Bombyx mori: one gene and its partner. The protein of the gene in region 1 binds, or shares a complex with, the protein of each later gene. Links are inferred from orthologs where the notes say so. Each region holds a gene or a part of one and is shown in the gene's direction. Other genes may lie near its edges.

Evidence for each region. Proteins that work in one complex are often made in the same cells at the same time.
Region 2: general transcription factor IIH subunit 5 (region 1) and DNA-directed RNA polymerase II subunit RPB2 share a complex: the UniProt entries of both Homo sapiens proteins name them as parts of the TBP-based Pol II pre-initiation complex. The link is inferred for Bombyx mori from reciprocal best matches to the Homo sapiens genes GTF2H5 and POLR2B.

The regions. Positions count from the first base shown.
Region 1 is NC_085109.1:11,978,534-11,984,141, forward strand, and holds the start of general transcription factor IIH subunit 5, read left to right. Parts: upstream 1-2,329; 5' UTR 2,330-2,456; coding exon 2,457-2,491; exon of another isoform or gene 2,492-2,721; coding exon of another isoform or gene 2,722-2,859; intron 2,860-3,495; coding exon of another isoform or gene 3,496-3,642; intron 3,643-3,760; coding exon of another isoform or gene 3,761-3,866; intron 3,867-4,380; coding exon of another isoform or gene 4,381-4,517; intron 4,518-5,132; coding exon of another isoform or gene 5,133-5,222; exon of another isoform or gene 5,223-5,228; coding exon 5,229-5,415; 3' UTR 5,416-5,423; intron 5,424-5,608. Other genes in the region: meiotic nuclear division protein 1 homolog, read right to left, coding at 2,722-2,859, 3,496-3,642, 3,761-3,866, 4,381-4,517, 5,133-5,222. UniProt on the Homo sapiens protein: Component of the general transcription and DNA repair factor IIH (TFIIH) core complex, which is involved in general and transcription-coupled nucleotide excision repair (NER) of damaged DNA and, when complexed to CAK, in RNA transcription by RNA polymerase II.
Region 2 is NC_085110.1:13,229,230-13,234,954, forward strand, and holds the start of DNA-directed RNA polymerase II subunit RPB2, read left to right. Parts: upstream 1-2,053; 5' UTR 2,054-2,193; coding exon 2,194-5,721; 3' UTR 5,722-5,725. UniProt on the Homo sapiens protein: Catalytic core component of RNA polymerase II (Pol II), a DNA-dependent RNA polymerase which synthesizes mRNA precursors and many functional non-coding RNAs using the four ribonucleoside triphosphates as substrates.

The DNA.
Region 1 (5,608 bases):
TGTATTCATGTCTATGATAATAAAATCCTTTTGTTTAAACTTTATCTAATTTAACTTTTTTGTATTCATGTCTATGATAATAAAATCCTTTTGTTTAAACTTTATCTAATTTAACTTTATTTAACCAATTTCTAGAAAGTTGCATGTAGATCATTTTTCGAAAAATAAGGCCATAAACAAGTTTCACTTCTTACGTGTGTACACTAGTACACGCACACATTTTTTTCATTTAATTTCATCCCAGTTGATTAATGTCTTAAATTAATCATCTTCATTTCACTCCATATTATAATTTTTCATCAAATGAGTCGTCTATTATCAAAGGTGGCAATCTGTGCATTTGGACAAAAAAATGTTATTGATATGTCAATACAGATTGAGTTGAATATAATCGTCTCCTTCAAAGAATACGGTTCAAAACCTGCATTAAATAAAGGTTAATAGTTAACCTGTTATTTATCTAAGATGTCGTTCCGAAGAGTTTTGTGACTGCCAATGGAATACAAAGTCAATAATTCGTTTTTCTGATTTACCAATAATTGTCCAAAAGTCAGATTGCCGGCTTTGATAATAGTCGACTCAAATAAGCATTTATATTAAAATAAGACATGACTTAAAGGTCTTAGTTACCAGGTCATAAAATCCCTTAAAAAAAAAGCTTACACTTACGCCTTAAAGGCTTATTACACTTGGCTAAATTTAGTCGACTGAATTCAAAAGCAAATTTAGAAGCAAGTTGGAAGCTTCTGATTACACTGTTCTTAACTTCAGTTACTGAATCAATTGTCAGTATAAACGCGACGAAGTAGGACGTGTCGTGTGTGTGTGAATGGCCCCAGTATTATCTAAACAACAAAAAATTGGTCTAGGCGCAGACCTCGCTGTCGGCTCAATTGAAAAAAAAAAAAAATGAAGAGTATGGGCGAAGAAATATATATTGCTGCGCGGAAAGTTAGCAAATATGAACATTATGAGTGATTTATCTATCCGATGATATGTAGGAGAAGTAAAATGTCCCTTAGAAATAAGGTGACACTCTACAAAACTTGCATACGCCCCGTCATGACCTATGCAAGTGTAGTGTTCGCTCACGCGGCCCGCATACACTTGAAATCATTCCAAGTCATTCAATCCCGTTTTTGCAGGATAGCCGTCGGAGCCCCGTGGTTCGTCAGGAACGTCGACCTCCATGACGACCTGGACTTCGAGTCCACCAGTAAGTATATGCAGTCGGCGTCAATGCGCCACTTCGATAAAGCGGCACGACACGAGAACCCTCTCATCGTGGCCGCCGGTAACTACATTCCCGATCCTGCGGACAGAATGGAAAGCAGTCGACGTCGCCCAAAACACGTCATCTCGGATCCTCCCGATCCACTAACGGTGCTTTTAGGTACTTCAAGCACCGGTCACCGTTCTCGTCGAACCCGTCGCTTGCGACGAAGGGCTCGACGAGTAAATTAACTCTTAGACACAGCCCACTGAGTTTCTCGCCGGATCTTCTCAGTGGGTCGCGTTTCCGATCCGGTGGTAGATTCTGCGAAGCACGGCTCTTGCTAGGGTTCGTGTTAGCAACATCGTCAGGTTTGAGCCCCGTGAGCTCACCTACAAAAGTTAGGGTTACGCTGATATAGCCTCTCAAGGCTCTCAGCTTAGGCAGGAAAAAAAAAAAAAAAAAAAAAAAAAAAAAAGAATGATTTAGAACCAGCAGACTTCAGAAATGATCTACGAATGGATTCGAGGTCGTTTGACCAAATATTAAGCCTTGTGGCACAATTTTTTTCAAAAGCAGGATACTATCCTACGATACTACTATAGTCTATTATATATCTATATTATATAACTATTACATATCTAATCCTACGATAGTATAAGTCCAAAAGAAAGATTGGTTGTAACATTAAGATTTCTTGCAACAGGAAATTCGTATCAAGATTTAATTTTTAGTTCTTTATAATATCCCAACCCCTTCTGACAAAAATTATCCCTGAAACAAGTTGGGCTATTTATAAATGTTTGGCACATTTAATAAAGGTGAGCGAAATAAATACTTTTTATTCGGAAGTAAAAAACAAACTAAGCCGTCCTTACGCACGGAGAGCTATGGGACGACTGAAATCATTAAGTAACTAAATGCGATTACACCTTCTTATATGCGTTTCTAATTAGGCTTCTAAATGATTTAGTCAGTCAGAAACCATCCTTGCTACTGAATTTAGCAGGTTAACTTACTGAATGCTATTACACCGACTAAATTTAGCAAAGTGTAATGAGCCTTCCACACTTACCCATAAATAATAGATATTAAGTGTATAGTCTATGAATAATAGTTTATAATAGTAATAGTATTCTGTATAACCTATGGTATCTACTGAAAGTAGGGAGTAAATAGGTACCTACATACTTTATTTACAATTAATTATTACATAAAGTGACAAGTTCTAAAACAATGAACCATGGTGAATGTAATGAAAGGTGTCCTCGTTGAATGGTATTTATTATTTTTATTTCTCACAAATATTACTTTTACATATGCAAACTTACAGATAAAGTTAGAATCGTTACAATGTGCTTTAATGATTTGAATTTTAAATTACATCAGTTAATCAATTTACTACGTACAATATATTAACTTGCCAAAGAATTTCTTCTTTGGTTTTTCCCATACTTAAATTTAATGTTCTGGGCCTAGGTTATGAGGAATGCCTTGTATATAAAACTTCATTCAATGTAATCCATATCTTTAGGTATGTTAAAATTTTCTTCTAGTGCATCAATATCTATTTGAAAACTATTTTTTATATAAGATTTCAATATATATACATTTTCTGTCCATCTGTTGCTGGCTGTTTTCAATTCCTACAAAATGAAACATTTTTAATCCAATATTATTATTTGATAATATTATAGTTATGTCTTTGGTTATACATACTACCACCTACAGAAAGCTATTTATCAAAACATAGTATTTTTTTAAATGTACTTTGTTTTCCTTATTTTTAAATAATGAATACAATGCTTAATTAATATACTGATAAGTTATATTGAGTAATATTACCCACCAAATAATAAAATATATATTTTCTAGCATGAAATAGACATGTTAGACTTAAAAGTCATTACCAGTTGTAAGCTCATACAGTTTTGTCATTCTGCCTACATCTGCCAAAAAAAATATACACATTCCAGTTTGATCAGTTCACTTGGCCTTTATGAAATATAATAGTAACTGATCTAATGTGTGCAATATTAAAGTGGGTAGCAGAAGTCACATTGTGATACCTATCAACTTCAGTAACTTACTTAACACTTCAGAAACACTAAATACTATACTACTATAGAAAGGCCATGAACTGATTCATCAATTACTAAATCCTTAAACTTGGGACATTGGCCTTATCTATTGCGCTCACAGTGGGGCGCTAATATGAGCTTGAATGGAATATAGACCTTAAGACATCATCTCATCTACATTAATATAAGAATTGGATTTACAGTTATTTCACGTCTCAGTTGTGCAATATATTCAGGATCAGATTCTCTGTATTTTTGTAATTCTCTCTTATATGAAGCCTCTTGCTTTTGAAGATCTTCTAAAGATGATAATATTTTTATTCTTTCTTCAGATATCTCTCTGCCTTTCTAATATTAAAGTCAATTAATAAATATATCAGTCTCTGATAAATATAGAATAGAATTAAGTTTCATTATAACTCTATAGACTATACTATACTAAGTAAAAAACTATAAATATTCTGACCGATTCTGCTATAAGGACTTCCTCAGTTTTCTTTAACTTCTTCGTACATTCATCAAATTCATTCTGGAGTTCTTGTAGCTTCCTCTTCTTGGTACTTTTTGCTTTGCTACAAGTAATTTATTTAATGTTTGCATGGCATTACCACAGCTTGCTTGATTTGAAAAATAATTTTGCAGTCATAAATTTTTAAAAAGCACAATTGTTTACTCTTAATTTCTCATAGCATCAGTGTGTAAAGTCCATGTAAATTTTATTATTCAAAATAATAAAACTAGTCTTAGTCAATGACTGACTCGGTGGTGCAAAAGTTGGCACCCCTGACTGCCGAAAGTTGTGGATTCGATTCCCATATTGGGCAAAAATTTATTCATTCAGCTTTACTGCTTACATGAGTCCACCTGGTTTTACATGGTAACCGAAGCCCATAGACATTACAACATAAATGCTGCCACCTGCCTTGAGACAAGATTTCTAAGGTCTCAGTTGTAACAGCATGATGACCTAACACCCTTCAAACCGAAATAAATAACTGCTTAATGGCAGAAATAGGCCAGATTTGACGCCAGATGATAATGTACTGTTCTGTTCCCAGTTATTTAGTTAGTTGTTTAACATAGTACCTTGGGAAAGACCAAAAGTACACTGAAGTCCCAATTTTTTCAGAATCAACCAGGTGATCATCAATTAGACTCTGAATCACTTCTTTAACTGATTGCATTGTAATACCCTTTTCTTTTGGTGCTATTTTTTCTAGTTCCTGTAAAAGTTAAAATATAAAATATTATCTTAATAGATTTTGTTATGGCCACTTCTGTTTTATGTGCTGTCTAAACATTTTCTTTTGAACTAATTATTGACTATTTGGTGACTCAACTAACATGATCACCAACAAATAAGAAATTGGACTCCTACCAAGTAAGTCAAATGATGAGTAAACATTCGTGAAAACTTCATTTATTATTACTTTGCTCTCAATTAATTAAAAAACGACCTTGCATTGCTAGTAAGTAAGAAACTCCAGACACTATTTCACACTGTCTCATTTATCCTAAATAAGAGATATATTTTATTGCTTAGTTGAGTGGAAGAGCTTAATACCCACCCCTGGTGTATGTGATTAGGTTACTGGAGTCAACAGACATCACAATGTATGTGCCACCCATCAGTATTATCAGATTTCATTAATTATTTATTGTGAAAGTCATTTATAAACATGTTTAATTACAAAGTTCATTACTAAAATTGGCACCTAACCGCTGGGTTTAAACATTGCTATAATAATACTGTTTAATATGAGTACATCTGGCATCTTATCGTTTAGGGCAGAGTGACATCGAAAGCTATGTATGAAGTTGTAATTTAATGAGGTTACCTTTAATTGAAAAAAATCTTGACTTTGATGGAATATTTCAAGCATTCTGGTCTTCTTTTCATCAGCACTAAGACCTCGTTTCTTGGACATTTTCAGTGATCCGGCAATGAAACAATTCTTACTACACTTGGATGAAACTCTTGCACTTGGTAGAAAGTTTATTCTTCAAGACCTGGATGAAACACACTTGTTCATATCAGCTGATATTGTGGAGACTCTACAAGCTCGCGTTGACGATTTAATGGACCAGCTCAGCATACCCGTGCACGATAAAGGATTATAAATTACGAGGTAAATATTCAAACATATTTGTATAATATATGGTGATAGAGATCCGCATTTGTGCGCGAATCGCGAAATTTTACTTCATCATCATCATCATCATCAGCCTTTATCTGCCCACTGCTGGACATAGGCCTTCCCCAATGCCTTCCACATAATGCTTTTTTTTATTAATATTATTAGGTTTATGTATG
Region 2 (5,725 bases), on another chromosome or scaffold:
TCCAGCACGGACTGCCGAGATTGGAGCCCCCGCGCTCCGGCTGCACTTGCGCTAGGGCGCGCCGCCTCGTAGGAGACTGTGAGGTATCCTCGAATAACTCTGACTGCGATCGCGCGCTGCCGGCGTCGCAGCGCGGCGACGTTCTCGTGGGTACGGACGTGGCACTAGACGGGTGCTCTATGGAGTGCCATCGACCGCACGGGTACCATCACCCTGCCTATTTCTGCCGTGAAGCAGTGGTGTATTTCGGTTTGAAGGGTGGGGCAGCGGTTGTAACTATACTGAGACCTTAGAACTTCTATCTCAAGGTGTGTGGTGCGTTTGCGCTGTGGATGTCTAAGGGTTCCAGTAGCCACTTAACACAAGGTGGGCTGTGAGCTCGTCCACACATTAAATCGAAGAGCGTAATCAAACGAAATTAGATACGAAGTTTAAAAGGCCGTTTAAAGTAGTTGAAGTATTGGATGGTGACCGTTACACATTGAAAGCTTTAAATTCAAAACTTACTTACAAATACCCACATGATAGGCTAAGAAAATTGCCAGCATGACACATACCAGTCGAAGTTGATGTAAATGATGATGATGAAGAGCAAGCTTAAATTGTGGTGAAAACTCGAGTAAGGAGTTTCTTGGTATTTTTTTGTATTTCACATCTTTTTGTAGAGAATGAAAGTTATTGAAGTCTTATTTTTTTTGTAAAGTGCAAATGTTATTGAGATGAGTTTTATAAACGTGGACTTGGCGCAATTTTTTACAGTGAAACTGTTTTTGTTCGGATTTCATATCTTTTAGTTAAGTATTATTTTTTGCTCATTTATTACTTAACAAAAATAGACAATAGAATAAAAATATATTACTAGTATATAGTCACTCAGCTTAAAAGCTAATGAAACGCTCAATTAATTAGTGTAATAATAATCAACATCAACTTTTACAAATTTAAACCGAATTAAATTCTGTTTCAAATGTGAACGGTGGATGACGCTGTTCTTAATTATTTCAGATTTTAAAATTGAAATCTGAAAGCTTTGAAACGTCAATCTGCATAAATGTAATTCAAAAACTACAGTAAGAGGCTTAAATAAAAAGCTAAATTTAACTCAGCCTTAATTAAAATTTTTTTCGGAATTTAGTAGTAAAGTTCAAGTTATTTTGATGAAATCAAAACTGAAATATTCATAACATCTTAAACAATCACCTACGAATAAATATTATTTATTATATTATCTATTCAGTAGACAATCACAACGGTTTTATAGTTTTGGGAAGGGATTTTTTGTAACGCCATCTCGTGAAGTATTTCGGTATTACATTAATATAAAATAATTAATAATTGGGAATTTAATTATTTTTATGATCGAACAATCACCAATAGTCATCGAACAAACGATAATTGATCAAAATGAATTAAAATGAATTAATCGATAAAAATAAAGATATCTAGTAAGAGGGGCCCACTTAACGGTGATCATTTATTTAATTAATTATAAATAAACAAAAGACGAACAAACAATTTTTACATTCGAGCATTAACGAACAAACGACGAACAAATAATTAAAAATAAAAAAAATCCGAAAATAAAAAAAGGGGGCCAAATTTACAGAGCCATAACCTACTAACTTAAATATTAAGTGTATGATCTATACCTACGGCACACTGAATTTGGCCCCTCTTTTTTTGATTTTCAAATTTTTTTATTTTTAATTATTTGTCCGTTGTTTGTTCGTTAATGTTCATATGTAAAAAATCTTTGTTCGTCTTTTATTTATTTATAATTAATTAAACAAATGATCACATTAAGTTGGCTCCTTTTACTAGATATCTTTATTTTTATCACTCAGATTAATTAATTTTGATCAATTATCGTTTGTTTGACGACTATTGGTGATTGTTCGATCATAAAAACAATTGAATTCTCAATTATTAATTATTTTATATCTAATAAGCAAACCATCACCTCACGCCAACAAATATAAAAAAATCCAAAATAAAAAAGGGGGCTAAATTCACTGAGCCATTAAGCACATAATATTTGCATGTGTTTAATCTATGATATTTGCTACCATAGATAATAGAGCCTAGGAAAGGCGACGACGACGCATTTGCTTTAATATTTTCCAATTGAAAATACAGAAAGGCCATTAATAGCCTACAGTATATTTTTTAAATACAACACTCGCTTTAGCGAAGATGTATGATACAGAAGATGATCAATACGAAGAGGAAGATGTGGAAATAACACCTGAGCTTTGGCAAGAAGCTTGTTGGATTGTCATCAACGCTTATTTCGATGAAAAAGGTCTAGTGAGACAGCAATTAGATAGCTTCGATGAATTTATTCAAATGTCGGTACAACGTATAGTTGAAGATTCTCCACCCATAGAATTACAAGCAGAAGCACAACATTTCTCTGGTGAGATGGAAACACCACCAAAATATCGTCTTAAATTTGACCAAATTTATTTATCTAAACCTACTCATTGGGAGAAAGATGGAGCTCCATCTCCCATGATGCCCAATGAAGCACGTCTTCGTAATTTAACATATTCGGCACCTTTATATGTTGATATTACAAAAACAATAGAGAAAGAACATGAGGATCCTATTGAAACGCAACATCAGAAAACATTTATTGGCAAGATTCCTATTATGCTTAGATCTACATATTGCTTACTAAACAGTTTGACTGACCGTGACTTGTCAGAATTGAATGAATGCCCCTTAGATCCTGGTGGTTACTTCATTATTAATGGATCAGAAAAAGTACTAATTGCACAGGAAAAAATGGCTACCAATACTGTCTATGTATTCAGCATGAAGGATGGCAAATATGCTTACAAAACAGAAATAAGATCATGTCTGGAACATAGTTCTAGACCGACATCTACATTATGGGTTAATATGATGGCTCGAGGAGGACAAAATATAAAGAAATCTGCTATTGGTCAAAGAATTATGGCAATTGTCCCATATATCAAACAAGACATACCTATAATGATTGTATTCAGAGCTTTAGGTTTTGTTGCTGATAGAGATATATTGGAACACATTATATATGATTTTGATGATCCAGAAATGATGGAAATGGTTAAGCCATCTCTTGATGAGGCTTTTGTCATTCAAGAACAAAATGTAGCACTCAATTTTATTGGAAGCCGAGGAGCACGCCCAGGTGTCACCAAAGAAAGACGTATTAAATATGCTAGAGAAATCTTACAAAAGGAAATGTTGCCACATGTTGGAGTATCAGATTTTTGTGAAACAAAAAAAGCTTATTTTCTAGGCTACATGGTACACAGATTATTATTAGCTGCTTTGGGTCGAAGAGAACTGGATGATAGAGATCATTATGGCAACAAAAGATTAGATTTAGCAGGACCACTTTTGGCTTTTCTATTTAGAGGCTTATTCAAAAATTTACTAAAAGAAGTCCGAATGTATGCTCAAAAATTTATTGATAGAGGAAAAGATTTCAACTTGGAACTTGCTATCAAAACAAAAATCATCACTGATGGTCTTCGTTATTCTTTGGCAACTGGTAATTGGGGTGACCAAAAGAAAGCTCATCAGGCCCGAGCTGGAGTATCTCAAGTGTTGAACAGATTAACTTTTGCATCTACTTTATCCCATTTAAGACGTGTCAATTCTCCAATTGGACGTGATGGTAAACTTGCTAAACCACGTCAATTGCACAATACTTTATGGGGTATGATTTGTCCTGCTGAAACTCCAGAGGGAGCTGCTGTTGGCTTAGTGAAGAATTTAGCATTAATGGCTTATATCTCAGTAGGAAGTCAACCTTCACCAATTTTGGAGTTCTTGGAAGAATGGTCAATGGAAAACTTGGAAGAAATTGCACCATCAGCTATAGCTGATGCCACAAAGATATTTGTGAATGGTTGTTGGGTAGGAATACACAGGGACCCTGAACAGTTGATGGCTACACTACGTAAACTAAGACGTCATATGGACATCATTGTCTCTGAAGTCAGTATGATTAGAGATATAAGAGACAGAGAAATCAGAATCTATACAGATGCAGGTAGAATTTGTAGGCCATTACTTATTGTCAATAATGGTGTCTTATTGTTGAAAAAGAAGCACATAGATGATTTAAAAGAAAAGGACTACAATAACTATGGTTGGCAAAATTTGGTGGCTAGTGGAGTAGTTGAATATATTGATACTTTGGAAGAAGAAACTGTGATGATTGCCATGAGTTTAGATGACTTGAATCAAGTTAAAGAATATGCATATTGTACTACTTATACACATTGTGAGATTCATCCTGCAATGATTCTGGGTGTCTGTGCGTCTATTATTCCATTCCCAGATCATAATCAAAGTCCCAGAAATACTTATCAAAGTGCTATGGGTAAACAAGCTATGGGAGTTTATATCACAAATTTCCATGTTAGAATGGATACACTGGCTCATGTTTTGTATTATCCTCACAAACCCCTGGTTACGACAAGATCTATGGAATACTTACGATTTAGAGAATTGCCAGCAGGAATTAACTCCATTGTTGCTATTCTTTGTTATACCGGATATAACCAAGAAGATAGTGTTATTTTGAATGCATCTGCTGTAGAGAGAGGATTCTTTAGATCCGTATTTTACCGTTCATACAAAGATTCTGAATCTAAAAGAAATGGAGAACAAGAAGAACAGTTTGAAAAACCAACCAGACAGACATGTCAGGGTATGAGGAATGCTCTGTATGACAAATTAGATGATGATGGTATTATTGCTCCTGGTATTAGAGTATCAGGTGATGATGTTGTCATAGGAAAAACTATAACTTTGCCAGAAAATGATGATGAGTTGGAAGGTACAACAAAACGATTTACAAAGCGAGATGCATCCACTTTCTTACGTAATAGTGAAACTGGAATTGTTGACCAAGTAATGTTAACATTAAATAGCGAAGGTTATAAATTTTGTAAAATTCGAGTCAGATCTGTACGCATCCCGCAAATTGGAGATAAGTTTGCTTCACGACATGGTCAAAAAGGAACATGTGGAATTCAATACAGGCAAGAAGATATGCCATTTACTTGCGAAGGTATAACACCAGATATCATTATTAATCCTCACGCTATCCCTTCACGTATGACAATTGGTCACTTGATTGAGTGTATTCAAGGGAAAGTATCTTCTAATAAGGGAGAGATCGGTGATGCAACCCCATTCAATGATGCTGTAAATGTGCAAAAAATATCATCTCTGTTACAAGATTATGGTTACCATCTACGTGGTAATGAAGTCATGTACAATGGGCATACAGGCCGTAAAATTAATGCGCAAGTTTTTTTGGGACCAACTTACTACCAACGTTTAAAGCACATGGTCGATGATAAAATTCATTCTAGAGCTAGAGGTCCAGTACAAATTCTAGTGAGACAGCCTATGGAAGGTAGGGCAAGAGATGGTGGATTACGTTTTGGTGAAATGGAACGTGATTGTCAGATTGCACACGGAGCTGCCCAATTTTTACGTGAACGTTTATTTGAAGTATCAGATCCTTACCGTATACACGTGTGTAATTTCTGCGGCCTGATCGCTATAGCTAATTTGCGTAACAATACATTTGAATGCAAAGGCTGCAAAAACAAAACTCAAATTTCGCAAATCCGTTTACCATATGCAGCCAAGTTACTATTCCAGGAACTAATGTCGATGAATATCGCTCCTAGACTAATGGTAGTGAGTTAAGTAA